4 linked regions of the Mus musculus genome follow. The protein of the gene in region 1 interacts with the protein of each later gene in a biochemical or structural test. Links are inferred from orthologs where the notes say so. Each region holds a gene or a part of one and is shown in the gene's direction. Other genes may lie near its edges. The genes, in order: Dnm2, Sh3gl2, Itsn1 and Snx9.

Region 1 (7,309 bases):
GAGGCAGAAGGATTGAAGTTTAAGACCATCCTTGGCTACACAGCCTTGAGTCAAGGCTCTGTGAAATGAGGCTCTGTCAAAGGTAAACACCACCATCTTCCCCCTTCCCCCAAATGTGCTTCCAGAACCTCCAGTTTTGCCTGCAAAGTAGTGTATTCTCCCATCTTGCGTTAGGGAGTGAATCTCCACATTGCACTTGGCAGTTAAAAGGATGTAGGATGTGGTAAAGCTGAAGTAACATGGAAACAGCTGCAATACTGGCTTCTGCCTTACAATGGCTTGGGTGGTGGGTGGATGGGGCACCTGGAGAGATGGTGGCCTAGATCCCCAGGACCCTCATAAAAAGTCAAGCATGGTGGTGAGCGTGTGCAGTTCCGGCTGCTGGCTAACCTTCTCAGCTGAACTGACCAGCTCTTGGCTGAGAAATCCTGTTTCAAAAACTAAGAGAAGTGACAAGGCCTAATGTCAAGCTGTGACCTCCGTATGCACATGCACAGGGCAGCATACCACAGCCACACAAATGAGAAAAAATGGAGGCTGGAGGAGTGGTTTAGAGTGCTGCTGTTGGAGGGGACTATAGTTTGGTTCTCAGCACCCATAATCAGATGACTGACAACTGCTCTTAACTTCCACTTCAAGGAATTCCATGTCCTCTTCTCATCTCATGTGCCTATATCACACCCAACATAAACACATAATTAAAATAAAGGGGCTGGAGTCGTGGTGGTTTAGCAGTTTAGAGCACTTGTTGCTCCTGTAGAGGAGGTGGGTTCAGTTCTGAGCACCCATATAGCAGCTTGTAACTGTACCTCCAGTTCTGAGAGGATCTGATGCCCTCTTTTGGTTTTCTTGGTCCTGCATGACTCTGGTGAACAAAATATTCCTGCAAGACCAAACACCATGCATGCAAAAGAAAAGTTTGGGGTTAGAGAGACAGCTCAGTGGTTAAGAACAGTTGTTGTTCCCAGCACCCACACATTTAAAATCTCATATAAAACCATCCAGAACTCCAGTTCTAGGGAATCTGATCCTTCCTGACTTCTGTGGGCACCGGGCACAGATCTGGTGCGCATAAAAATAAAATAAATCTTTAAAACTTTTTAACTGTTATTTTATGTAAATTAAAAAAATTGTACATGGATTTTTTTTTTTTTTGCCTGCATGTCGGTATGTGCATTATGTCTGTGTCTGTTTCTAGTGGAGGCCAGACGAGGGTGTCAGATTCCTGGAACTGGAATCACTGATGGTTGTGTGAGTTGTCATGCAGGTGCTGGGAACCAAATTTGAGTCGGCTCCCAAGGCAGCAAGTACTGAGCCATTGGTCTAGGAGAAAAAAAAAATTAAAGTAAAAATAAACCTACAGTTGTAGCCATCCGCAAAACACTTGCTTGGCTTAATGGAACTGTAGACTTGACCCTCTGTAACGTACAGAAATAAGCACGAGAGGGTGAGAACGCCTTTATGAGGCAGAAGTGTCGACTCATCTTTCACTGGCACTGGGATTCTTCCAGAGTTGGGATCTGCGATGCTTTCTGCTTTGTTTTGTTTTTTTGTTTTTTTGTTTTAGTTTTTTTGTTTTGTTTTGTTTTGTTTTGTTTTTCGAGACAGTGTTTCTCTGTATAGCCCTGGCTGTCATGGAACTCACTCTGTAGACCAGGCTGGCCTTGAACTCAGAAATCTGCCTGCCTCTGCCTCCCGAGTACTGGGATTAAAGGCACGCGACACCACGCCCGACTGCGATGCTTTCTAAAATATGGGTTTTCACTACAGCCTAAGAATTCAGGTGTAACAGCCACTGAACCTTACCACGGTGTGCTTCCCTGAGCACTGTGGCCTTTTGCTTAAAAAGAATATCACAAAGTGATAGCAAATGCCAGGAAGTTGGAAGAACTTTTATGACACAGTTGTCAGTGAGGATTGGGAAGGTAGTAGCGTGTATCCTAGCAGGAGGGAGGCTGAGACAGGAGGAACATCAAGAGTCTGTAGCCAGCATACAAAACTATAGAAACTATAGAAAAAGATTGCGGCTCTCTTTCCTCTTACTGGTTGGAGTAGAGAAGTGATATTTATATCAGCCAATGAGAAATTTTTACGGAATTAACTAGTGTCAAGTGACAATCCAGTGTTGAAGAATGGATCCCTTACACCCTTGGCAGGTTGACGTTTCTGCGACCAATAAGCCAACCCGAATCAACCTAGTGAGCTGAGGCCTCAGTGTCTTTTCCAGAGACCCCGCCTTCCCGGTCTGACAACCCGGTTTGACTTCTATTGGCTTTCACTTAAGAGTGACAGTTTTATTACCCAGTGAATTTGTGAGATTAGCCCTTCCTCGTGCCTTTTTTATTGGCTCACGTTCTTGAGTGGCAGTGCTTTGAACCAATTGGATATAGCAGTAGGGTTGCGGACTCCGCCCCGGAGGCCGGGAGGGTTGTTCGCTCGGGTCGGGTGTCGCCTGAGAACCGGATGAGGCGGCGACTCTGAGGCCGAGCCGGGAGCGGGCGTCGCGGCGAAGGGGAGACCGGGCGGGCCGGCAGAGCAGAGCAGGAGGAAGCAACGGCCACAGACACATCGGAACCGAGAGTCTTAGTCGGGGGATCCGCGCGGCGGAGGCGGACACCATGGGCAACCGCGGGATGGAAGAGCTCATCCCGCTGGTTAACAAGCTGCAGGACGCCTTCAGCTCCATCGGTCAGAGCTGCCACCTGGACCTGCCGCAGATCGCCGTGGTGGGCGGCCAGAGCGCCGGCAAAAGTTCGGTGCTCGAGAACTTCGTGGGCCGGTGAGCGAGCGCGCCGGCGGCGGTTCTGGGGCTCCGGCCGGGAGGGCGGGCGGCGGCCTAGGGCGCGGAGGGCGGGCGGGGAATGGCGGAACTGCGGCTCGCGGACGCCGCAGCACCGGTGGCAGTGGATAAGGTCTGGGGCAAGAGTCTCCATGGCTTTCCGCAGGGACTGGAGATGCAGATCCAAGTCTGGGACTAGTCGATGATAGTGGGCGGTGTTTGGGGCAAGACGGTCAGTGCCGACCCCTCTTGGTGCTTCTAGTTCCGGCTATGGCTGGGCAACTCTGACATCGCTTTACCTGTAGTCCGGGATAGATCCACTCCTCTTTCCTTCTGCTACCTGGAAATCTTAGTGTGTGTGCTAAGATGTTGAAGATAACACTTGCCACTTAGCCATCCATGGGGAATGACCCCTGGGGTCTGTCTGGCCAGTTATTTTCTGGAGCCTGCTCTCTTGCCTGGTTAGCTGGTTATCTGTTCTAGACAGGCTTCCTACCGGCACCATTTGGTTGTCCCATCTGTCCAAACTCACTCTGAAGTCCACCGTTGTCTGGCTAGCCATCTAAGGTGACCTCTCGTGTGCAAATGCCCATCTGTGCCCCTTATTTACGTGAGTTGGCCTCTGCCATCTGACTGGCTGAACTTTGGGAGCCTCCTGTTATCTGGTTCTCTTGGGCCGACTGGCTCTTTGAATCCATCCATTAGTCTGTTCTCCATTCCCACCCAGGCATCCCTGCCTGTCCATCCTCTCTGAGTGACAGAGGTTGGAGAACTTGGGAAGAAACATTCTTTAGGATTCTTTCTTGGGCTAGGATCCCCTAACCTAGAGCTTCCCAGTTGGAATGCTCTCTAGATAGCTCTGGGAGCCTCAGCTTGTTCCATCTGTCCAGTGGGCAAATTCCACTTGCAGCTGTTTGTAGGATCCAGGAAGTGAGTGAAGGAGGGATGTTGATTTACTCCTGTCCCCTCCCCCTCTGCCTCTCCCCGCAGCAGCACTTCTCCATTCCAGGAAGTGTTCCATGTATGATGCTGCAGTGTGTGCCTACCCAGTGTTAACATTTGCTTTGCTGTGGACATTATCATTGTGTGTGTGTGTGTGTGTGTGTGTGTGTGTCCAAGTGTGTGCCAGAGTGCATTTGTGGAAGTCAGAGGGCATAATCTTTGTGAAGTCCTTCAAAATTTATGTGGGGATTAAACACCGGGCCGCAGACTTATATAGCAAGTCCTAGTATCCATTGAGCTATGTCATTGTCCTTCCATCTTAAATTGTAGAGACATGGTCTCTCACTGACCATGCAGCTCACCGATCTCATTGGGTCTCTCTCTCTCTCTCTCTCTCTCTCTCTCTCTCTCTCACACACACACACACACACACACACACACACACCATGCAGCTAACTGATCTCACTCAGCTATTCTCGCTGGCCAGTGAGCTCCAGGGATCCACCTCTCTCTGTCTCACCCTATCATTGGGTCACACACACACACTCACACACACACCCTCTGTTATTGTTGTTACCAGTCTTTTGTGGAGGCAGAACATCTCTAAATTTGAGGCTAGCTCACTCTACATAGAGTAGAGTTCTAGGGCAGCTAGGGCTACATATTGAGACCCAGTCTCAAAAAAACCTCAAAAGTTGATTCAAGACTGCAGGGACTGGGTACTTGGAAGTGTACATTTAGGTTGAATTAGCTGCACCTGTGATCTTAGGATTTTGGGAGTCTGAGGCAGGAGATTTCTTGAGTTTGAGTTCAACATGGGCTCCATTGTTAGTCCTGTCTCCAAAAAAAAAAAAAAAAGCCATGAGAGGGCTGTGTGGTGACGCTCGGGCATGGAGTACTTGCCTAGCATGAATAAGACCCAGGGGTCAGTTCCCAGCACCAAACTAATAAGAAATATTGTTGATATTTATGTTCTCTTTGATTGCATTCATACTCAAAAACACCTATGGCTTTTAGGTAATGAAATAAAAATTTTATGTATATGTATATACACATATCCCTGTTTGTTTGTTTGTTTGTTCGTTTATTTATCTATTTGTTTTTTGGTTTTTTTGAGACAGTGTTTCTCTGAGTAACAGAGCCTGGCTGTCCTGGAGCCACCTTTATAGGCCAGGCTGGCCTCTAACTGAGAGACTTGCCTCTACCTCTCAAGTGATGAGATTAAAGGCAAGTCCACCAAGCCTAGCTATTGATCAATGTTTTAAAAAGCATCTCAGAATGTAGACAGGCTGGCCTTGAACATACAGGGATGCACCTAGTTCTACCTCCTGAGTGCTGGGATCAAAGGCATACAGCACCGTTCCTGGGTGGGGGTTATTTTGGTTTTTTGTTTTTTAATTTTAAAAAAATTTTTGTTTGTTTATTTTGAAACAGTCTCATACTGTAGTCCAGGCTGACCTGGAACTTACTATAGCATAGGTTGGCCTCCAGAATTGTAGCAGCAGTTGTCCGATTTCATTTTCTAAGTGCTGGGGTCACAAGCACACACCACTATGGCATTAAGTTCATTTTACTCTAGAATGCATAACGTACCTGTGTTGCAGGACTTTGCCAAGAGGCCCACTCAATCCCATTCTTTATTTCCTGCTATGGACTTTATTAAACAGAGTCAGAACTATGAGTCTGTCTGACCCTTGTGCTGTTTCTTTCCTCTGCTGTTCTTGAATATCCATCCAGGGGCATCTGGTTGTCAGCCAGGAGCAAAGGAGAGTGTGCCAAGGGCTTGGGCCAGCCCAGCACCTAGGGACAGCTCAAAATGCTTCCTGTCAGGGCTGCCTTAGATTTTTCTAAGAACATTAGTGTACACTAGGACAGCTCAGTGGGCCCAGCCCCTTGCCGAGACTTGCATGCAGATTGCTAGCCCTGGAGGCCAAGGGCTTGAAATGTAACAGGTTTCACATGAGGTCCAGATTTCTACAGAGCCTGAAACTACCCTGAAGGTTTTAGTAATAATGAGGTAGAGGCCTGAGGCCCCAAGCATGGGTCTACCAAAGCTGTGACTTTAGTCAAGGGCATTGATTGGGCATTCTAGGCCCCAGGTTCCTGAGTGTGTGTCTGTGCACAAGTGTCTGAATATGAGTGTGTGGGGTCAGAGGGCAGCCTTAATCATGGTTCCTCAGGAGCCGTCGTCTTTGTGGGTTTGAGTCACTTGTAGTCTAGGCTGACTGGCCAGCGAGCCCCAGGGATCTCTCTGCCTGGACCATTACAGTGCTGTGATGACAGGCGTGCATAGTGATGCCTGGCGTTTTACCTGAGCGCCAATGATTGAATCTTGGCTGACATTGAAATGGCTATAGAGCTGAGGCTAACCTAGAACTCTGGATCTCCTACCTTTACCTTCTGAGTTCTGGCATTGCAGGAGTGCACCACCATGTTTGGGTTTATGTAGTACTGGGGATGGAACTGAGAACTTTGTGCATGGTAGGTGAGGCAGCCAGACCCCAGGTTTCTCTGCTCTAAGACAGAGCTGTATGTAATCTGGGCAGAGTGGCAGTGGTATAATGTCTGCTCCCCCAGAAGTGAAAAAGTAAGACTGAGACCCTCACCCTGGGGTGAGCTGACTTCACGGGTAACTCACTGGATCTTCTAACCAGGACTGCTTTTACCATTTTAGAAGCGTTAGCATTTGAAACCAGCATCTGAGCCAGCCAGCTTTGTGAGCTAGCTATGGCTCTCAGGAGGGCTTGGTTTCTACCTAATCGTTGCTATTTAATTGAGGGACTGGCAAAGAGGCTAGCTGGGCTTTTTTCCCCTACCCCACCCCCATTTGGACAGGAACCCAGGAAGTTGGGGTTCCAGCCTGGAAAGCGGAGGCTAGACTCCTTCCTGTGAATGTATTGCCTTTCTGAATCGGAATCTCAGAAGGAAGTGGGGTTACAGTTTGTTCCTTGAGTGTTTGACTGCCTTACAGCGTTACCTGGTGCATGTCACTGAGGCCGAGTCCCACTTGTCTATGACTTTCACGAAGGCTGGCAAGATGGCTCAGTAGGGAAAGGGGTTTGCCACCAAGCCTGATGACCTGGGTTGATTTCTGAACTCCAATGGTAGAAGCAGAGAAGCAATTTCTGTGTGATGTATGCACACGGAGACACAAGCCCAAAGAGGATACATAAATGAAATGTTCGGGAAAAAAATTTTTTTAAAGAAAAACAAAAAGGGAGCCCAATACTGCAGCTCAGTTGGCAAGTGCTTAGCATGAGTGGGGGTTCCACACCCAGCAGCACAGAAACCGGGTGCTTGGAAAGTGGAGGCAGAAGATCAGGAATTCAAGGTGTGCTTCGCAGCAGAGCTGGTTCTGCTAGCCTGGGCTACATGAGATCCTGCTTCCCTGAAAAAATAAAATAGAGTTCCAGCCTCAGGCCTAGAACCCAGGACTCAGCTAACCTGGGTGGGCTCTGTTGGGAATTAAATAAATAGGTGTGTGTGTGTGTATGTGTGTGTGTGTGAGTGTGTGTGAGAGAGTGTGTGTGTGTGAGTGTGTGTGTGTGAGTGTGTGTGTGTAAGGGGGGGGGGAGAAAACGTGTAATA
Region 2 (7,380 bases), on another chromosome or scaffold:
AGTCACTCACTTGGCTGTCTCATCTTCTCATCTTTCTTCTGTGACTAGGCTAATAGGGCTTAGGTAGGGAGACACCCATTGTGCTTTGGAGAGATGAAGGCTGAATTACAGGAATAAGACTTTCACGTTTTACCTCCAAGGGACCAGGCAGATATGTACCTTGCTATGTAGCTTTTGGGGGAAATTCTGGAAGCAGAGTTATGAAGGTGGCCTTGGCCTTGATTTCCCATTTCTAGGAAGCTGTTGCTAGCCCTGCCACTCCGGGCAAGCACTCGTGCTCCTAGATCGCATCCACAAGCACACCACTCACAGGGCTATGTGGCTAAGGGTGTTAAGCCTGTGACTTAAGTGGTACCAGTGACAGGGCTATGCATTCACTCGGTCATCTCTGTCTACACTTAGCACCGACACAGCTGTCCTGCGTTTAGCTAGAGGCCGTAGTAGAAAAAGAGTGACTCACTGCCCTGTGTCACCTCGAATTTCTCAGCTGTAAGATCTGAAGCTAGGACTGAACGCCTTGGCCTTGTTGTGATTCACATGCTCACTGAGCTGCACATGAATTCTGGAGCAGTTTACCCTTGTGCTGGCCAGAGACTGTGAACACGGTCAGTGGGGAGAAAGATGGAAGTGGGAGCTTTCCATCTGCCTCTCTCCTGGGATCTATATCACCATGAAAGGTAACTAGGGATGCATCAGCCCTGTGCACACTAGCAGACTGGTATTTCCTGGAAGCTTTGCCATAATGCAGAGAGAAGTAGTGCATAAATGATGTGAGGAAATTATTGCTGACCATGAATTTACTGCCCAATTAGTGAGGTGGTGCTGTGTAGGGGATTCGCATAATTGGGCCTTTCTTGAGCTGATCCGGGTTTATTTACCATTTTCCCAGTGATTTTTATCTCGGGAGACGAAAGGGTAAAATGTTGAGTTCGTCAAAGGCCTTCCTTACTGACCTCTGATTCTAACCACAGCCGCCTACGCTGTGCTTTGAGACTTAGTTACAGATCCTTTGCAGTGGAAGAATTCCCATGTGAGAGCCGTTGAGCACCAAGCACACTTTCCTTCTACATTCAAGTTAGAATATATGCACATAAAACAGTGGCTTTGAATCATTGGCCTGGAAATACTTGGGCAGTGCTTCTCAACCTGTAGGTTGCCACCCCTTTTGGGATCAAATGGCCCTTTCACAGGGGTTGCCTATGACCATCAGAGAACACAGATATTTATATAATGATTCATCTCAGTAGCAAAATTACAGTTATGAAGCAGCAAAGAAAAGAATTTTATGGTTAGGGGCACCACAACACGAGGAACTGTATTAAAGGATTGCAGCATTAGGGGGGTTGAGACTGGCTGACCTTGGGGTTCAAGGGCCAATTTACATGTGTGGGCATCTTCCTGCACCATCCCCTCACACCCCTTTCTCTGATGCCTTCCAAAAGTAGCTGCTCAACACCTCTCTTCTGGGGCAACACCCCAAAGGTTTTCATAGCTAACAGTTGAGGCTTAAATAGAATCCCTGACTTAGATGAGACCTAGGTGAGAGCAATAGGTTCAAAGCGCTTTGAAGTTTTCTATGCAGAACCCAACGTGGTTCCTCTGATCTTTAGCAGCATACGCTATGAAGGTAAGTAGTCAAAGAGACAAGGAAAGGCGGGGACTAGCTTTGCTTTAAGATTTTAAGGTTAAGGCAAGTGCTCAAAGTTTCCGAGGAGCCTCTTCAGGTCCCCATTTCACTTCTTTCATGTGTTGAGACCAAAGTTGCAAATTTCAGACCACATCATAGATTTGTGGCAGAGAGAAGCGAACCCTGTGGCCCTGATACCAAAAGGTGAATTATTAAGAATTAGCATGTCCCTCCTGCCTAAATCCTCTAACCAATGTTTATCCCAATGCCTCCACGGTAGTTTAGAAATTAGAAAGTACCACAGATTGGAAGGTCTGGGCAGCAGCAAGGACCACAAGACTACAGACCCCTTCCTTCCTTTTGCTTTGCTTTGCAGACTGGAAGGGTATGCTCACTGCTCACTGCTCCGATATTCTGTTGTGCTGTGATTCACAGTAGCAAGGGTGAGTGGTACCCAGCCCGTGTCTAGAATCCCCTTGCACCTGCTCTTCCGTTCATCTTTACTCAAGCTGCAGAAGTCTACTGGCTTCCTTTACACCAGGCAGTAGAGGGGGGGGGGGCGGGAGGGGAACTGTATTTCTAGGAACCCAATCCAGGTCCTGTTGATTCTTTCCACATTCTCCGTAATTACTCTCCTCTTGGCGGCTCATCACTTTGATCCACACATGCAGGTGTGGCCTGCATCTGAGACTCTCCCACAAGCTCTTCCATACAAGACAAACTTGAAGTGGCTGCTCATAAGAGCACAGATTTCTGGTGCTGCTCTGGGCCCTTCACCCAGTCCCATCCACCCTTTGTCCCTATGTGGTGTTTGTATAACTTACTGCCTTTCCTTTCCTCATTATATAAAAATGTTAGAACGAAAAAAAAAAAGAAAGAAAAAAATGTCCATGATAATTGTGTGAATGCCAAGTTCGCATTCGTTTTTTTTTTCTTTTGAAAATAGAAGATTAAATGTTATTACTCATATCAATATATGCTATAGCTCATATCAATTCCATTCCAGTATCCCAGTCAAACTGTAGGGACCTCTCTTCATCTTAAGTAGTTAAGTTGTACTAGAACAGGAAAAAAAAAGTTGATAGATTTCCCTAAGGTGAAACAAGCTTAAGGGATATTAAAATCGAGGCAGAGAAATGTTTTCGGTGGCCAATCATGCGGGAAGGCAGGGCATGAAATGAGCAATAACTTATTCATGATCCAGATAAGCCGCCACCCTGCTTTTCAACCACAGGGAGGCCAGGCTCAAAGGGCAAGGGCAGTGCGCAGGCAGCACCACTGCGGCTACCTGGGAGCTGGGTCACCTGAGTCTAGACTGCCCAAAGGCGGTGATCCCTTTGCCAGGGCCACGAACGAACGACTCCCACAGCTGAAGACAGCCCAGGCTTCGGACCGTGGAGGGACTTTCGCCCCCGCACAGTGCGGGGGTTCCTCGCGCTCACCTGCCTCGGCTTGCGCCCTGGGCGGGGCTTCCCGCGTCCCCTTTAAGAGGCCGCATCACCCGCCCTGACGTCAGGGTGTCTCTCCGCACAAGCCCGCGTCCCGCGCCGCGCCCCCGCGCCAGCAGCTCCCGCGGTCGCACGACCAGCGGCGGCCCGGCGACCCCAGCCGCCTCTCCGCATCTGCATCTGCATCTGCCGGCCGCGCAGCCTCCCGCATCCCATCATGTCGGTGGCAGGGCTGAAGAAGCAGTTCCACAAAGCCACTCAGGTAGGGCGCGTGCAGGTGCGCCATGGGCCGCCCCGCAGACCGACAGACAGACGGCGTCCTCCCCTGCAACCCCTCCCTGTTCTGATCTGGTCCCCGCGGGGCGCTGCGCGGCAGCCTGGCTCCATAACCCGGCTCCCTGTCTCCGATCGGTGCTCGCTCCGCGAGTCTCCTCCCTGGCCGCTGCATCCCTGCTTCCTCTTCCCACTCCGAGTCCCTGTGGTCCCTGCCACTCTAGCACTCAGACCTCAGTTCCCTTCCCCTGGCATCTCTGCTCTCTGTCCCCGCTGTCTCGGTTCGCCGCCCACCGGGTTCCCAGGCAGTTAGTCCCTGCACGGCAGCTCTCAGGCTCTGCACGGAGGGTGCCGCGCAGGTGCTTGGCGGCGCGGCGGGAGATTATGTAAAGTCGCCTCGGTGCGGTGACCTTGCGGTGTGGTGTGCCCCACTGTCCTGGGATGTGCTGGCTGGAGCGAGGTTCGCTCTGGAGGCTGCGGAGGTGCCCGCGCTCTGCGCTTGCTCCAGGCTTTGCGCTCCCAGGCCTTCTCAGAACCCCTCCTTCCCAGGCCTCCCCAGGCTCCCAGCATGGGAGAATGTGGTTCCCCTAAGGAGCATGCATGCATTAACTTTTTTCCCTGGAGAACTCCTTGGTGAAGCTTATTTGAGGCCATGGTTTGATCAGTGGTCTGCAAGTCTTTAAAGTTCTCCCACGGGTTTTACTGCGGAGGCAGTTGTTAAAAACTTGAAAATCACTGTTTACTAGATGTGCCAAATTTTCTGTGTGGGGTAAGCTGAGATTAAAATTTAATCCAGACCCACATAATTTAAATCTCATTGGGCCCAACTCAGTGATTTTACAAAGAGAAAATGTCCAAAAATACTTACGATGTGACCCATTTCTTACATAATGTGTGGAGTTACAACCCTTTTATTCATTTGGAACAGGTTAAATTTTAAGATATATTTAACAAGAAACGACTTTATTGATAAACCGTAAAATACTTTTTGCGTAACCATTTAGCTTTAAAGATCCTTATCCTAAGCTAACCTTAATTGTGTGGCTTCTGTAATTTCTTGTTTTTTAAAAACATTACTTTTATCTTTTTTTACAATCCAGCCACTCCCTTCCCTCTGGGTCCCCCCTCCCACAGTTCCTCATCCCATTTCTCCCTCCTGTCTCCAAGAGGATGTCACGCACACCAGGTCTTCCCACTCCCAGGAATCTCAAGTCTCTCGCACATCTTCTTCCACTGAGGCCAGACCAGGCAGTCCTCCTCTGCTATACATGAGTCTCATTACCGAGTTCACAGCCTCAGTACTATTGCAAAAGGCATAGGGAAAAGGTGAAGACTGCATTCCTCAAGTTTGCTTAAATTAAGGTGCAGGATGACATTCACCCCTGAGCATCATCTCTGTCACCATAGACTTAGCATCATCAAATGAGTTCTGTTGGGAACTAATTTAGGGAGACAGGAAACAGTCATTTTAGGAAGTGCTTCTAACTACATATATATTTGGTTTTCTCACTAGAATTGTCTGTGATCTCCCTATTGGAAAGGTAGAGCCAAGTATATTATTCACTTGATTCTGGCAACTTTCCAGTTTCACAGAACCAATCTGTGCTACCAGTGAATGGCATAGGACTGCCCTGATGTCACCCACCTTATTTATTTATTTATTTATTTATTTATTTATTTATTTATTTAGGTACTTGTCTCATTTCTAATCTAGACCAAAAGACTGATTCTACCAACATTCCTTTAGGAGCCTTGGCTTTGGGGAGGGAAAGGCTAAGATTTGAATCCCTCTTCTGCTACCTAGGAAATTGAGCAAGCTAGTTTTCTGAATCCGTCCTTGCCAAAAATGAGACAAAATTTCTCAGGGGAAAAGTAAGGATAAATGAATTTGTAGAGCATATATAGAAAATGCTTAATAAGTGGTAATTGTTAATGTTAAGGATAATTCCTTTAGCGTTAGGTACCATTCCTTTCCACTGGTAATAACGAGACTTGAGAACCCAGCCGGGGCTTCGATAACACACACAGTAACCATCTGACTCCATTCAGCTCATCCTGAGGTTGTGTGCAGCTCTGGAAGCAGGAAAGAACTGGAACGTCATCGGGGAAGCCCCGTCTCCAGGTGTGGAGGAGTTCTACTAGGGACGGACCTGCTCCTTACCACTCCGAACCCAGATACTGGGTCACTGTTCACTGCCATTCTCTTCCTTTGCTGAAAAGCCTTTTTGTTTTAAAGGTGAAGCAAAACACAATCTCATTCATAGCTTAATGGAGCCTAGTCTTTAAAAACGTAAGGCAAAGGTTACTCTCCTGTGCATGGATGTGTTATTCTAGAGGGTGTGTAACGCGAGGTGGTGTTTGCCTGCTCTGAGCTCTGAGGGAAATGGTCCTGTCCTGCTTTGCAGTCGTTTCCTGAATCTGATCTTTGCTGCAGAGGAAGTGTTAGGCCCCTGACTGCCATGCTGGTCAGAGAAGGCAACATCTTGCCTTTCTGTGGAGCTGAGCTTCCACAGAGGGGTGGGTGGGATTTCATCAATAGAATATGCCTTTAGTGTCAGTACCGTTGGGTTAGGGTTCCTAGTTAGAGTGTGCCCCTATGGTTCTCATATTAGAACTTAATATCTCTCCCTTTCATCAATGGTTACTCTGTAAGTAAATAATTTTTATTGCAACATAGGACAAATTGAGCAATTACTACTCTACCTTCAGAGAGTTTTATTTTTATTGAGCTTCCATTGTATCATCAGTAATGTCAACTTTTAAAAACTTGTTTGAATTTGCAGCAGTCTGTGTAAACATAGCTTTAGTTCCTGGTTAATACTGCAAGCAAACCCATAATTCTTTTCCTATACTTCATGATCAAGTGTTTGCTATGGTATGTCTTAGTATTTTTTGGCTGTGAAGAGACACCATGACCATGGCAGCTCTTATAAAGGAAAGTGTTTAAGGCTGGGCTTCCAGCTCTGAGGTTTAGTTCATTATCATCATAGTGGGAAGTATGGTGGTGCACTGGTAGCCACTGTGCTGCAGAAGGGGCTGAGAGTTGAACATCTGGATTAACATCTGAATTAGCAGGCATCAGGAAGAGACAATGAGCCTGGCTTGAGCATCTGAAACTTCAAAACCCATCTCTAGTGATACACTTCCTCCAAGAAGCCCACACCTACTCCAACAGCCACTCCCTATGAGCCCTTGGAGGCCATTTTCATTCAAACTGCCACGGGGTGCATATATGGTGTCAATTCATTCTTCAAACTGTATGGCAGTGTAAGAAAATCTTTTTACAGGATGAACTGTTTTAGACAATTACATTATTAGTTTGCTAGAATATACGTAGCAAAGTACCCCAAACTGAACAACTTAAACAACACAAATGTACTGCATCACTTCTCTTGAGAGAAAGATGCTGGAGGTGTTAGGTCACTGCAGCAGGAAGGCCATGGTCCCTCAGACAGCACCAGGCAAGAGCTGCTCCAGGCATCACTTTTAGCTTCTGGGCCTTTATTGGTAGTCTGTCTGGTTTATCTTAACTTACATACAGTGCCTTGATGTGGTCCTCATGTTTACACAGCATCACTGTGTGTGTGTGTTTGTGCTCAACTTTCAGTTTCCCAAGGTGCCAGTCATGTTGGATTAGGAGCCTACTCTAGTGGGACCTCGGTAGCAGTGTTCTTGTTTTCCTGTAAGGTCATACTCTTGCGTTAATGGAGCTGCAATTTCAACATAAACATTTTGGGGGGATACACTTTAAATATTAGCCTATTTTGCATAAGAGGATTTGTAATAGTATTCTTAATACTGCATTTGATCCAACATTTAGAGGGACAATTCTGTCTCAAGTCTTTAATCAGTTGGGTAGGATATTGCTATAGGTTGTTTTGTCCCCACTTCAAATTCCTGTGCTGAGAATAAGATAGTATTAGTAGACAGTATTTAGAAGGTGATTAAGTCTGAGGGCTCCAGCCTCATGCATGGAATTACTACTGCTCCTCTAGGTTGGAGAGAACTTATTCCAGTCTGCCACAGTGAGGT
Region 3 (7,291 bases), on another chromosome or scaffold:
AATCATTTAGATGTGGAATACAGATGATAATTTTGATTTTAGTATGAAGGTTTCTGGTGCTCCTCACTCAGCTCAGTAGGCCACGTCCTCTGCTGGGACTGCCATCTCTGTTTGTATTCCATGCCTAACTCAGAAGGCGTGAATTATCCTGCGGCTCTCCTCCTAGTGGCTGCCAGAATTCTCACCTAAACTATACTGCCTTCTTTCAAAACTCTAATAAAAATGTCCTTGAGCTTCCTTACCAGAAGACAAAGAGTTGAAAGAGGAAACAACCTCGTAAAGTATATTATATAAAAACTGGAAGGAAGTCACTTTGTGAAGCATTATACTCTGCCATTGTCTATTTACAGTTCTCAGCACAGTGTTGTCATAGGTCTGCAAAGGCTACAGTAAGCCAACAGTGCAGGGGAGGCTGAGGCCAGCCAGCCTGGACCAGCTACTGAGACAAGAAGAGTCTGCCACAAACACAACCAGGAGACACTGTGTCTGTGGGCTTTCATTCTTTTTTTTTTTTTACTACTTTGAGGCAGTCTCACTAAGTTGTCTAGGCTGGCCCTGAACTGCCCATCCACTGGATGGGAGTCCAGGCCTGCACCACTAGGGGGAATGCCCATGTGTTCTTGGAATGAACCATGTCATTTTCCGAGTTCTCAAGCTTTTCCCAGCCTCCTCCTTGAGGGAGGCACACAAGTGAATCAGGACTCTTTCTGGTCCAGAGGCTCAGGAATCTCCATCAGGTTTGCACCTTTCTTCTTAACATGGAGCAGCATGGAGAACTATAAAATTACCACAATTATTTTACCACAGATGCCAGGCAGCTTTATCTTGGTTTCTTTGAGGTGGGGTCTCTCTATGAAGCCGTGGAACTTGCTCTGTAAACCATGGTGGCCTTGAACTCACAGAGATCTGCCTGCCCCTGCATCTCAAGCACTAGTCAAAGGCATGGGCCACCACCACGCCAGGCCAGGCAGCTGGATCTGTGTCTGCACCCTGCCTGTGTGCCCTGTGCCGTTGGATCACGAGAGGGCTTCAGATCCGCTGGAACTAGTGTAACAGAGGTGGTTACAGTGGCGAGCCCTGGTCCTCTGGGAGAGTACCAAGTGTCCCTACCCTGAGCCAGCTCTCCAGCCTTGGGCGGCTTGATTTTACACGGGGAGCACTGTTTCAAATATGAACACCTCATCTCCTTCTACATGTGGAGACAGAAGCGTGGGTGACATTAATTAGAAAAGCCAGTAATAATTGTACATTGCAGTGGCTGATGCCTAAGATTTACAACTCCCAAGAGACAGGACCCCGCAATAGGACGCAGGCTGCTGCAAGGACTGAGTGAGTATAGTACACAGCGCACACATTACGGAAGTTGGCTTTTTAATAAATATTACTTTCCCTGGTATTCTTGTAAGCTCAGTATCGTATTGTGAAAGTAGTTCTGAACCCATGTACTGAAGCAGCAAAGGGATGTCGCTGGCAATCACATGACTAACACTGCTGAGTTTGTGCAATGGTCTCTTGCATCATCTGGATTCGGAGAGCGGCGAATAGCCACAGGTGGCTACTCCGCACGTGAGTGGCGTGCCCTTAGGATGAGGGTACGAGGGTATGCTGCGAGGGTAAAACGCACAACAGATACACTGTCTCATTTAAATATCTGATTTCTTTAAAGGTTGAAATAATATTTGGATAAGCTGGTTTAAGAGAAACGTAAAATTAATTTCACGTGGTCTCTTCACTGTCCAAATGTGGCTCCCAGGAAATCTAAAAGCGTCTGGGTGCCTAGAACATCTGTCCTGGACAGGCAATGCAAAACTCAGCTACTGTGGACTGGCTATACTTGGCAGTTTGTTTAAAATGCCATATATAGATATATATATATAATTTTTAAAAAGCAAATGCAGACCACCAGGCCCAAATCCAGAATCAGTATCTGCACCTCCTCACGACCCTGGGATAATTCTTTAGTATGGCTCAAGTATGGCCGGCTCAATGAAGCAGGCAATTCCTGACCCAAGGCCCCATTACTGCGAACACCCACCCTTGTTTGCTTTAGGAAACCGCTTACTGGAAATGCAAAGAGAAGGATAAGAAGGGTGACAAGGGAAGTAGTAATAGAGACAGCATCAGAAACAGTGATAGGGAGAAGCTGGGGGCGGGGAGGACTCAACCCAGGAGAAAGGCAGTTCTAGACCTTTGCCTCCATAAACGCGGAGGAAGAAGCAAAGATCAGTCTACAATCAAAACCTAGCCAGGGTCAGGAACTGTCCGTCAAATCTAGTATTACCCGCCCCTCGGCGGCCTCGGCCAAGCTAGGCCTGAGCCAGGGCATCTCTGAGGTCGGCGTGTGATGCGAAGTACCAGTCTCCCCAGGGTTAGACAGCTCCTTCAGGCGTTTCTCCATTTTTCGCCCAAAGTCCCATTTCAGAGACACACATCGTTCTTCCCTGGCTCACCTGGCTCGGAGCAACCTCAACCGCCAGCGCCTTCGCCGCCGCCACCTTCCCAGTCCTTCTGCAGAGAGCCCGCCTTCTTGGGTCCAAACAGTACTGCCATTGGTCAGACTGCCCGTCACTACCGCAGGATGACCGATCTGGGGGAGGCTGTGACGAACGCCATGGCAACTGAACCCGGAACTACATCTCCCAGCATGCTGCTTCCCGTAGAGAGACGAGTCGCCGCCCCAGGGACCACCAATAAATGGGAGAAGTTGGGCGTTGCCAAGATGGGTTCCGTTTTATGCAAATTAGAGTAAAAGGCCACACCCTTCCTCATTCCAACCGTAACCCCTACCATCTTTCTTCAGTCTTTGTGTCTTTCGCCTTTCGTGCCCACGCTCTTTCTGCAAAACCTTCAATTTAGTTGAATGTATCCTAGCTACTGTCGCGCATAGAAAAGAGCAAAGCGCCAAATCGTGAAACAAAATCTCCGCACGCATAGAGCAGAAACCTCTAGTTACGCCTTCAAGGGACGAGACAAGGATGGGAGGGGAAAAAAGTGTGTGTGTGTGGGGGGGTGCTATCCAAACTACTTCATTGGTGTATCTCGTTGTCACTCTGTACACCTCTATTTCCTTTGGCTCCTTTCTTCTTTTTTGCCCACCTAGTGGGCGGAGTCATAGGAGAGAGCGAAGGCGTGGTCTCCGCCGTCCGATTGGCAGGCGGTTATCCCCGCCCATCTATGGGTGGGGCGGAGGGCAGGCTGTGGGCGGAGGGGCGGCGGCGGAGGGAGATGAGGAGTTAGGCGGGAGTGAGGGAGCGAAGGAGCGAAGGAGGGCGAGAGGAGTGGAGCGGCGCGGGGAGGGCGCGCAGCTTGGTTGCTCCGTAGTACGGCGGCTCGCAAGGGAGCATCCCGAGCGGGCTCCGGGACGGCCGGGAGGCAGGCAGGCGGGCGGGCGGGGATGGTGTGCGCGGCTGCGGACTCGGCGTTCCTCCGCGCGGCGTGCGGGCTGCACTGATTTGTGTGAGGGGCGGCCGCGCGCACCCGCCCGGAGATGAGGTGAGGAGCTGACGCGGGCGGCCTGGCGCGCGGGCGGGGGTCGGCGATGGCCGCCCCGGGGTCGGGTCCAGCGGCCGGGCGCGCGTCCCTGCGGCCGCCGTCGCCGCTCCGCCCGGTCTTTCTCATCCTCCCCGGGGGCAGCGGGGCGGGCGGGCCGCGGCGGTGGCGGCCGCGGGACGGGTTCGGGCTGAATGGGCGTCCGCAGCCACGGCCGGCGCTCCCGTGGGGGGCATCGCGGCGGGCGGTCCTTCCACCGCTGACCCCTCTGCCCTCGGCCGCCGGAGGGTGGCGGGCCGACCCGGCCTCCCGGGGATCCCGAGCTCGCGGGAGCCGCATCGCGCCGCCCGCGGGTGCCCCCGGCCTCGAGTCCCCGGCTCATCCTTTTTCTCTAGCGCCTGCTTGGAATACCCTGTCAAGTGAAGGGCGGTCAATGCCGTTTGGGCCGAAGTGGTGCGGCCGGGGCTGGCTCTGATGGCATTTAACAGAAAGCGGCTACCCTTGCAGCGGGCGTGCGTCCCCTTCTCGGCCGCTTCGCCCTCCTTGCGCACGCACTGACTCGGGTGTCTGCTGTGGACCCAGTGCATAATTGCGGTCCCTTCTTGGGGGTGGGGGGGGGCACCAGAAAATGCAATCCGGATTCCCAGAAAGAAAAAAAAGAAAAGAAAGAAAGAAAAGCAAGGAGGAGCTGGCTGGATCTCCCTTCACTTCTGTTTGCCTTTGCTTTGGAAGACAACTTCGCTGATCCTCTTGCCTATGAGCAGTCTTCTATTGTTGTGATTCAGACTACAGGCTTTGCTTTTGAAGGAATAGATTAGTGGCTTCTTGCTGCAGCTTGAGGGTGTAGAGGTATTTGGTAGCATCTTGAATGTGAAAGTTTGCGACTTTGCCCTCATCACTGCTTTTCGGAAAACAGAAGCAACCTGGAAATGTAAATGCATGCAGACTCTGGCCAGATGCGGTTCTTTTGTGTTTATCGGTTGGTATCTTTCTCTTGGTACTTCGTGGTCGGAAACACGGAGGATAAAAAAGAAAAAAAGAGTCTGATAAATAGCATAGATAGTGAAAGCATGGGAACAAATGCCCGTGGAAAATATCAGTTCTATTTTCAGGGAGGCCGGTTTACTAATCCCGCTGAATTGATGAAGAGAAAGGCTTGCTCATGGATTATGTAGTGGACAGGATGTGAGGGCAGGAGCTGGGGCCAGGAGCCCGCAGGCCAGCTGCTTGGCAGGGTGTTTCTCTAAATGCTCCAAACTAGAGGAATGTATTTATTTGTTGGGATACTTTTATTTTTAGAAGATGTTAACGGTGAAGAGTGCAGACGTTTCAGCAACCATTATGGTTACCATTTTTGTTACTTTTTTTTTTTTACACTAGTTTGCTTGAAATATTTTGTATGTGTGTGTGAGTTCCCTTATAACTTAAGAAGTTTTTAAAAAGCAACGTCTTTCTGTAGGAGATATGTAAAGAACTCAGGAAATTATAAAGGATTTAAATTAAGAAGTGAAGGCCACTGATTTGGTGACAGGGCATAGATATTTCTATACACTTTTAAGTGGCTGCAGTAAGGCACCTCTCAGAGAGTATGTGTTTAAAAAAAAAGTGTCTGTCATTGAAATTGCTGAGGATTGTGGTACCGCCACAAAACTATTATTATTCTGCCTGAGTAAGAGAGGAAATGAACACATTTTAATGTACTTTGGAACCCTGTGGATTGTTCAGATGCTGAGCATTGTGAAATAGGGCATAAAATGAGTAGCGGCAAGTTAGTTCCCTGAAATGTTTGTTCCTCAGCATTTTCTTTCTTTGAATCTCTCTCTTTCTCTCTCTCTCTTTCTTTCTTTCTTTTTAATTTTTAAAAAAAGATTTATTTATTTATATGAGTACACTGTAGCTGTTCTGATGGCTGTGAGCCACCGTGTGGTTGCTGGGATTTGAACTCAGGACCTTTGGAAGAGCAGTCAGTGCTCTAACTGCTAAGCCATCTCTCCAGCCCACATCCATCCTTCCTTCCTTCCTTTTTTCCTTTCTTTCTTTCTTTCTTTTGCTGTTGACTAGCAGTTTCTTTTTCCTCTGGGCATTCTTTATCTTTTCCCCAAATAACCTAGATTGAGATACACCCTTAAAACACTTGCAAGAGCTTAAAAGGGAGGCCCTGGTAAATTCCTCTGCCTGTGCTTTTTCTCTTTTGGTGATTGAGCCAAGCCTTGGAGCATGCTAGAGTGTAGCCTAGCACCTAGCTACATCTGCAGCCTCACGTTGTCTTTGTGTGTGGTACTGCTGGCATTAGATCCTGGGGCCTTGTGCTACAGTCTCTAGACTCTCATCCTTTTAATTTGCTCAACCTGTGACTTAAAGAAAATTAATTAATGGAGGTTGGGTTTATGTCAGACTTCTCTTTTTAGTGACTCCCTCCTGAATGGCTCCACTTACTGGCTCCATCTAAGTCTGGCATTCAGATATCTTTACATCAGCTTACCAGGTTTCTGTCTCTCCAGCTCAGTCAGACAATGGGAAGTAGTCAGTATTGTCAATACAGTTTCCAGGAATTTCTCCAAGCCAGAGAGAGAACTTGGAGAACCTTGGCATTGTGCTTTTCTCTCTTACCGAGTGTCTCCTAAGACCGTCTCTGAAGTGGATAGCAAGCTTTTCAAGTAGCAGAGGTTTTACATACTGTGATGAGGGTTTCAGAAGAGCAGAATTGGTGTGGCCTGCCTAGAAACTAAGCCAGTGCCTTTCAGACCGTTGCAGGGTGGATGGGTGAGCCACACTGCCTCCATCCCACTGTTTTGAGTCTTTACCTGCCAAGTTGGTCACATCACAGAGTAGTCACAGCGCTGTGTCCTAGCCAGTTCCCCTAAGCTTGACCAGTGTTGAATGTACAGCCCTTCTGGGTGATGTGCTAGAAAGATGTCTAGTAGATGTTGCCCCTGAGGGCTCAAAATTTAATGTAGAGTCTAATCACGTATCATTTTATAAATGATGATAATCCCAACATAAAGAATCATTTTTAGAAAATATGGACAATACATATGCTTTCCAATTTGACTCTTATGATATACGACCTTTACTCCCTTTTACAGAGTCTACCACAGGGTCCTATAAATTACAGATTTTATGTGGGTGAGCGCTACATGCAATGCCAAGCTCTGAAGAATATGGGACTTCATCACATATTGTTAATGACTTAGATGTAGTTACCAAACCTCTCAGGACCTCAGTTTTGCTAAAAATGGGAAGAATGGCAGTGGACTTTGCATACTTCTATGTTGCCCAGGCTTGCCTCCAAGTGCTGGGGTTTCAAGCATGTGTCACAGTGACCTACACTTAAACGCAGTCAGTTATTAAGCACTAGTTCACACTGACAGGAAGAATTGGAGTGTGTGAGATAGAAAGTTTGCAAGCTGACACTCACGTGGTTTCTGTGCTGCCATACTGTGTGGTCACTTTGTGTAGAGATTCATTGCTTCCTAAAGGAAGTCTCTTGATAATATCTTGGTACTAAATGTATACTTTACTTAATAAACTACCAAGGATTATACATATGATTACAAAATAAATTTCATGCTCACTTTCATCTTAATTGTATTACTTTAGAATTAGTCTTAACCAATTTAGAGTGAATAACTAATAGCCTTTGTATTTTAAAAAGATCACACAGAAATACAGAAAAGCAAGGAAACTATAAAATACCCATAAATCCGTGGCCCAAGCATATATACCAGGCCATTTTTGTGTGTGCTTATGGCTCTTCATGTACAGCTTTTGGTACAAAAAATGGGATCTTGCTGTGCATGTC
Region 4 (6,695 bases), on another chromosome or scaffold:
AAAGCATACAATAGGTGCTGTGTCACCCTGCTGTGCCTTAGAGCATGTGGGTTTACTCTTCCTGAGCAGAGTGAGGCTCCGAGTGCCTGCTGAGGGCACCAAGAGCAGCCTGTACCATCTCTGCTGTCAGCCAATGAGCAGTTGATATTTATATTGCACAGGACACTGGCATTAAATGTACTCAGTATATTTTATGACTTATTAAGTTTATTAAAACTTGTTTTTAAAGAGCTTCTCAATTCCTCTGGTTGGCATCTGTTTTAAGACAGTGCTCAGTGGCTGTTCAGCTTGGTCTTCTAATTATTTAAATGAGCTTGGTTCCTAAGGCTGCCTTAATTCCACCAGATAAATCTCTGGCTGCATCCACAGCAGTATGGATAGTGACACTAGAACAGTGTAAGAATTGTTGGCATGACCCTGCCAAACCATGAAACATCCCATAGTCTTGGAGATCCTTGCATGGAAATGTCTTTAGTAAGACAGCCAGCCGTGAGAAGGCGTAAGGACGGCACCTACATGGAGGAACACAGTATGTGGCCTGGCACCCTTCACCAAAGTGAGCCAGGTGCCTCCCTCAGATATGCCCATTTGAGGAGTCTCCCCCTGGCCAAGGAAGAAAATTGGACCATTGGTGAAAACAGTAATTGCCACAAAATGAGGTCTAGCACACATATGCACACCAGAATTAATAAGATACTTGGAATGTAATCCCAGGGCCTTGGGGGAGCGTGGGCTCCATCTGCAGTTCTGAAACTGTAACGACAGGCACACGCATTGGCGCTGCTTTCCCTGTTCAGATGTCACTTGGTGGTGGCCAGGGGCTCCGCAAAGCAGGGGTTCCTGATGGAAGAGTTTTAAAGAAGAACAAAGAAGCGATGTCAGAGAAAGGTGCAGTTCTGTCAGAGACGATCGAGGCCGCTTCTGGAAGTGCAAAAACTAGACTCAGCTAGAAACTGACTATGGATCAGGTTAAGCCTCCAGGCCTGGTGGCCCGCGTGAGGGCATGGGAGGGACAGAGGGTGTCACCACAGACATTGAGTGTGTAGTGCATGACTCACACTCCTAACACCCCACAAAAAGACAGGGGTGACAAGAGCCCCAGGTTAAGGAACATGCCATCCTGTCTGTGTGTGCACTACCTTTGCACACTGGCTCTCACAGAGCCTGCCTGAGGTGCTGGAGGCCCACACGCTGCTCTGCTCCTCGTGAGAGCAGAGCCATGACCTTTTCCTAGGTGTGCCGCAGTGTCCTTGTTCTTTAAAGATTGCCTAGAACGTGATGTGTGTCCCAGGAAAAGAGAAACCGGGAGCACGGGGTCTAGATGGAAAAGCTGGTCACTGTCTGAGTTAGAGTTTCTATGGCTGTGATCAAACACTAACCAAAAGCCACTTGGAGCAAAGCATTTGTTTTAGCTTACAATTGAGGAAAGTCAGGGCAGGAACTGTTGCAGAGGCCATAGAGGAACTCTGTTTACTGGCCTGTGCCTCCTAGCTAGCTTAGCCCCCTTTTGTATAGCACTGAGGACCACCAGCCTAGGGGGTGGAGCCACCCACGGTGAGCTGGGCCCTCCTGCGGTGATCATTAGTAAGGAAAATGCACCCGAGGCCAGCCTAGTTTTTGATTTTCTCAGCCGAGGTGTCTTCTTCCAATGACTCTACAGCTTATGTCAAGCTGACATTAAAAGCACAGACACCATCTGCTGTCTGGAAACCAAAGAGTGGGGGATGGGAGTTCTCACCAACGTTGACAGTTTTTAAGTTTTCTACACTAAAACTATCAATAAAGTCTGTAACAAAAACCGTAAGTGTGGGGGAATATGTGTAACACAGTATAGTCTCTTCCAAGACTGCTGTCTGTTTCAGGAGAGACCGACCTTAACGATGCAATCACAGAAGCTGGGAAGACGTATGAGGAGATCGCCAGCCTTGTGGCAGAGCAGGTACTGCTGGGATCACACTCCCCAGCCCACATTGGTTGTTTAAACCCAAACAGCTGTCCCCTTTCTGTTTCTGTGGCTTTCTGTTCATTTTATTTAGTGATAATGTTTTTCTTTTTCAGTTAAGCCAGAGAAGACAAATGTCTCATTAAGAAATCCAAGTGAAGCTTTGTAGCTTACACCTGTAGCTTACACCTGTAGTACTAGAACACCAGAGGCTGGAGGCTAGCCTGGGCTACATGGGGCGTTTTTGTTGTTGTTGTTGTTGTTGTGTTGGGTTTTTTTTTTTGATTTTTCGAGACAGGGTTTCTCTGTAAAGCCCTAGTTGTCCTGGAACTCACTCTGTAGACCAGGCTGGCCTCGAACTCAGAAATCCGACTGCCTCTGCTTCCCAAGTGCTGGGATTAAAGGCGTGCGCCACCACGCCTGGCAGGGCCTGGCAACATGGAGCGTTTTAAGCTGATCTCAGTTACAGAGTAAGGCCCTTTCTCAAGAAGACAAAGAAAAAGAATCTAGGCTGGGCATGGTGGCACACGCCTTTAATCCCAGCACTTGAGAGGAGAGGCAGGCGGATTTCTGAGTTCGAGGCCAGCCTGGTCTACAGAGTGAGTTCCAGGACAGCTAGGGCTACACAGAGAAACCCTGTCTCAAAAAACCAAAAAAAAAAAAAAAAAAAAAAAAAAAAAAAAAAGAATCTAAGTGTGTGTGTGTGTGTGTGTGTGGGGGTCCTGTGGCTCAGTGGTAGTTGGCCTAGATTGCTATTCATATCTGTAAGGCTCAGATTTTGATCCCAACACCGTCCAAAAATGAAGGTAGGGGATGGAACTGAAGTGAGTTGGCCACGGTGCCTCTGACCCACTCTCAGCCAGAGGCTAGAGTGGCGAGGAGCCCTGGCATAGCCCTTGCACTGCTGCCTGCCCTCTCTAGCTTGCTTTCCTCATCTGTGAAGTGCCTTGGATGAGCCTCAGGAATGTAGGCAGTATTTTTTATTGTCTATTAAAATATAGACATTAAACGGTAACATCTTTGCTTGTTATAATTTTATGCCTGTATTTTATTGATTAAAAATGGCCCAGGACACATATGTAGCAGAGGGCTGCCATCTCTGGCCTCAGTGGATGCACCCAATCCCGCAGAGACTTGACTCTCCAGGGTGGGGGCACAGATGGACACGATGGCACATACCCTTAATCCCAGCACCCAGGAGCCAGAGGCACACAGATGTATGTGGGTTCAAGGCCAGCCAGACCCTAAACAGTGAGAGCATTTCAGTAAAGAAGCAGCACTCAGCCCTCTGTCACACAGGAGGATGTGGGCATCATTCCTCATTAGTTTCTTCTCTTTAATTTTCTAAATCCTCCACTAGTAACAGCCAGCCTGTGTCTCGTTATAGCCAAAGAAGGACCTCCACTTCCTGATGGAGTGCAACCATGAGTACAAAGGCTTTCTCGGCTGCTTCCCGGACATCATTGGTGCCCACAAGGTAAGTCACTGTGCTCTCAGGGCCTCCCAGACGCACAGCATCGCCGAGCCGCAGTTGTTTAGATCCTACGTGTATCCACAAGAAATGTGGTGGTGCACGCCTGTAATCCCAGCAGTGAGTTTGAGGCCAGCCTGGTCTACAGATAAGTTCCAAGCCAGACAGGACTACACACTGAGACCCTGTGTCAAAAGGAAGATGAAGGCACAGTATCCTAAGTCCCACCATAAAGTTTTAAAACTAAATTTAAAAGTTAGTTGGTAGATCTTGATGATTTAATGCTGGTTAGCATTTCCTCTCAGGGTCTCTGTGGTACGCTAGTGTGTTGAGGTGCCCTTGCATTTGTTAGGAAGCTCTCAGCAAAGGGCTGGTCTGTGTCTCAGCAGTGCTCCATGAGGAATCATGAAGGAGCAGCACAAACAATGTTTGTGTAACTCAGACAGCTTCATATGAAACTCAGGAGGTTGGCTCGTCAGAACTTGAGCAGCAGAGTTGGAGGGTCAGGCCTGGAGCCTCGCTTACACTTCACAGTGGAGCTGTCTTTGCGGGGGACATAAGTACTGAGTGGTGTCTGGAGCTGCGTGAGGACCAGCGCCAGTGTTTACAGCTGCTTCCATCCAGAATGAGAGTACAGGACCCAGGACCTCTCACAAACAACAAAGGAAAGCCCTGCAGTCTGCACAGCCAAGCCCGGCTCGCTCGTAAATGCTGTGTCATAGCAGCAGAGAGGACACGTGCCCCTGAGACAGCTCATGTGCCTTTCTGACCTCTCATCCCTTCTCCTCTGTGTACTCCTGACACCAACAGCGCAGAATCTTACATGGGCAGAGTTTTGTTTGTTTCTCTTATCACAGTGTGTAGCACTGCACATTCTAGCTTTATTGCAGTTTCCAGGAGCATCAGCCTTCAGGCTTCAGAGGGACTTAGAGGGAGTTGGCCTGGGATGTTCTGCTCTGTACCACAGAGTGTCAGCATTGCATCTTCAGCTAATGACTACTGCTCTTTGCTTTGTCTTCTTAAATACTGTTACATTTATGTATTTTCCAGGGAGCAATAGAAAAAGTGAAAGAAAGTGATAAGCTGGTTGCAACTAGTAAAATTACTCCCCAAGACAAGCAGACCATGGTGAAGAGAGTTGGCACCATGTCTTACGCTCTGCAAGGTAAGAGAAAGGGTGGTGAGTAACTGGGAAGAGCTGTTCCCAGCTCCCAGCGTCAAACCTGCTTGCTGGTAGAAATCCAAATGTTGAGTCCCAGTGAAATTCAAAGCTAATTTAAAATGTCTATCTGCTTCTAGGTAGCGTTTTATTTTACAGATGAACTTGGGATAGCTGTGGGTGATTACACCCATACATCATTACTTCTAAGTGACACATTCTGTTAACAGCCTTTAATATCACACTGTTGTATTCAATTCCAAAGTCCAGAGCTGGTGGGATGGTTCAGTGGTTAAGAACACTGGCTGCTCTTCCAGAGGTCCTGAGTTCAATTCCTAGCAACCTCATGGTGGCTCACAACCATCTGTAAAGGAATCTGATGCCCTCTTCTGGCGTGCAGGTGTGCATGCAGACAGAGCACTTCTACAATTTAAAAAAATGCATAAATTAGTACATTTAGTACAGCTTCTAGAGGTCTGTGAACTCTGTGCTCTGGGACCATGGAATCTAAAGGAGGCTTGTGGGTATCACTTAGACATAATTTAGTTAGAAAGAAAGCAGCTGATTTCTAGAGGTGTGCGTGTGTCAGAGAAAAGAACAGCAATGGCCGTCTCTGTGTCTGGTGAAGGCTGACAGACATGTGCCTGTGCAGACTGAGGCTGTCAGTGGAATTCAGCTAGTCAGTGACAGCCATCCATTACTAGACAGTGGCACTTGCTGCAGGGGTCAGCTGTGTTTCTAGGCTCTTGGTAGACTTGGGCTGAGAACTGGTGCCTCTTAGAAGCAGCCAGATGAAGTCCTGCTGATGACGAGTCTTAGGCAAGCAGAGAATGTCATGTTGTTATTCGAAGTCTTGCTGGGAACTAATCCCTGTGATAATTTTGTTGTAGCTGAGATGAATCACTTTCACAGTAACCGGATCTATGATTACAACAGTGTCATCCGCCTCTACCTGGAGCAGCAAGTGCAGTTCTATGAAACAGTGAGTGTCCCCTCCCAACACCCCCCATCCACAGGTGTGTCCCCTCCCAACACCCCCCATCCACAGGTGTGTCCCCTCCCAACATCCCCATGCACATGTGTGAGGGCAGTGAGTGTCCCCTCCCAACACCCCCATCCACAGGTGTGTCCCCTCCCAACATCCCCATCCACAGGTGTGTCCCCTCCCAACATCCCCATCCACAGGTGTGTCCCCTCCCAACATCCCCATCCACAGGTGTGAGGGCAGTGAGTGTACCCTCCCAACACCCCCATCCACAGGTGTGAGGGCAGTGAGTGTCCCCTCCCAACACCCCCATCCACAGGTGTGAGGGCAGTGAGTGTCCCCTCCCAACACCCCCATCCACAGGTGTGTCCCCTCCCAACATCCCCCATCCACAGGTGTGAGGGCAGTGAGTGTCCCCTCCCAACATCCCCCCATGTACATGTGTGAAGGGAGGGAGGTTTTGGCCTAGTGCCCTTGACTAGATAGACTTGGTCAGTTATAATCTTTACTCCTGAGTGATAAACCAAAGGGGCTTACATTTTGAACAGAGTTTAGTGGTTTGATTTTTTTTTTAATCTTTTAAAATTCCATCTGAGGAATATTGGATCAAAAAAGCTTTCCTGGGCCTGGAGAGACAGCGTAGTGCTTAAGAGCTCCTGCTGCTGTCACAGAAAACCCAGGCTCAGTTTCTGTCAGTCACACTATGGCTCACAGTCATCTCTAACTCCAGCTCCAGGGGTCTCATGCCCTCTTCTGACCTCTGCGGGCACCAACCACACACAAGCCACATACACATACTTACAGGCAGAGGAGCTGCAGAGAAAAGAAAATGAATAGGTATAATCTTTGGAAATGTTTAAGCTTTACTTTGAAGAGCAGACATTGGTTCCTAGTTTTAAAGCCTTGAGCAGTCCTGACTGTGTGACTTCCTTCTTTCTGAGCCTCTCCACGCACGGGGACAGTGCCAGAGGATTGAGGTCACCCTGCTAACCCACAAGTTGTATCGTTTTCAGTTAGAGAAATAACCAAAGGCAGCCGTTGCTTGTGACCCAGGTTTTACAGTTACCAAAGGAGTCTCTTCAGGAAAACCAAAATAACACAATGTTTTAACATTTTCATTCAGCGAACTGTAAGGAAA

What was found.
Region 2: the proteins of Dnm2 (region 1) and Sh3gl2 interact in a biophysical measurement, tested with the Homo sapiens proteins (2 studies listed by BioGRID and IntAct, with this or other methods). The link is inferred for Mus musculus from reciprocal best matches to the Homo sapiens genes DNM2 and SH3GL2.
Region 3: the proteins of Dnm2 (region 1) and Itsn1 form a complex in vitro, tested with the Homo sapiens proteins (2 studies listed by BioGRID and IntAct, with this or other methods). The link is inferred for Mus musculus from reciprocal best matches to the Homo sapiens genes DNM2 and ITSN1.
Region 4: the proteins of Dnm2 (region 1) and Snx9 form a complex in vitro, tested with the Homo sapiens proteins (2 studies listed by BioGRID and IntAct, with this or other methods). The link is inferred for Mus musculus from reciprocal best matches to the Homo sapiens genes DNM2 and SNX9.

Annotation. Positions count from the first base shown.
Region 1 is NC_000075.6:21,422,478-21,429,786, forward strand, and holds the start of Dnm2 (dynamin-2), read left to right. Parts: upstream 1-2,430; 5' UTR 2,431-2,618; coding exon 2,619-2,779; intron 2,780-7,309. UniProt on the Homo sapiens protein: Catalyzes the hydrolysis of GTP and utilizes this energy to mediate vesicle scission at plasma membrane during endocytosis and filament remodeling at many actin structures during organization of the actin cytoskeleton.
Region 2 is NC_000070.6:85,202,285-85,209,664, forward strand, and holds the start of Sh3gl2 (endophilin-A1), read left to right. Parts: upstream 1-3,171; 5' UTR 3,172-3,292; coding exon 3,293-3,337; intron 3,338-7,380. UniProt on the Homo sapiens protein: Implicated in synaptic vesicle endocytosis. May recruit other proteins to membranes with high curvature. Required for BDNF-dependent dendrite outgrowth.
Region 3 is NC_000082.6:91,726,108-91,733,398, forward strand, and holds the start of Itsn1 (intersectin-1), read left to right. Parts: upstream 1-3,263; 5' UTR 3,264-3,492; intron 3,493-3,500; exon of another isoform or gene 3,501-4,428; coding exon of another isoform or gene 4,429-4,468; intron 4,469-7,291. UniProt on the Homo sapiens protein: Adapter protein that provides a link between the endocytic membrane traffic and the actin assembly machinery. Acts as a guanine nucleotide exchange factor (GEF) for CDC42, and thereby stimulates actin nucleation mediated by WASL and the ARP2/3 complex.
Region 4 is NC_000083.6:5,922,743-5,929,437, forward strand, and holds part of Snx9 (sorting nexin-9), read left to right. Parts: intron 1-1,862; coding exon 1,863-1,939; intron 1,940-3,329; coding exon 3,330-3,419; intron 3,420-4,463; coding exon 4,464-4,578; intron 4,579-5,462; coding exon 5,463-5,554; intron 5,555-5,563; exon of another isoform or gene 5,564-5,726; intron 5,727-5,757; exon of another isoform or gene 5,758-6,609; intron 6,610-6,695. UniProt on the Homo sapiens protein: Involved in endocytosis and intracellular vesicle trafficking, both during interphase and at the end of mitosis. Required for efficient progress through mitosis and cytokinesis. Required for normal formation of the cleavage furrow at the end of mitosis.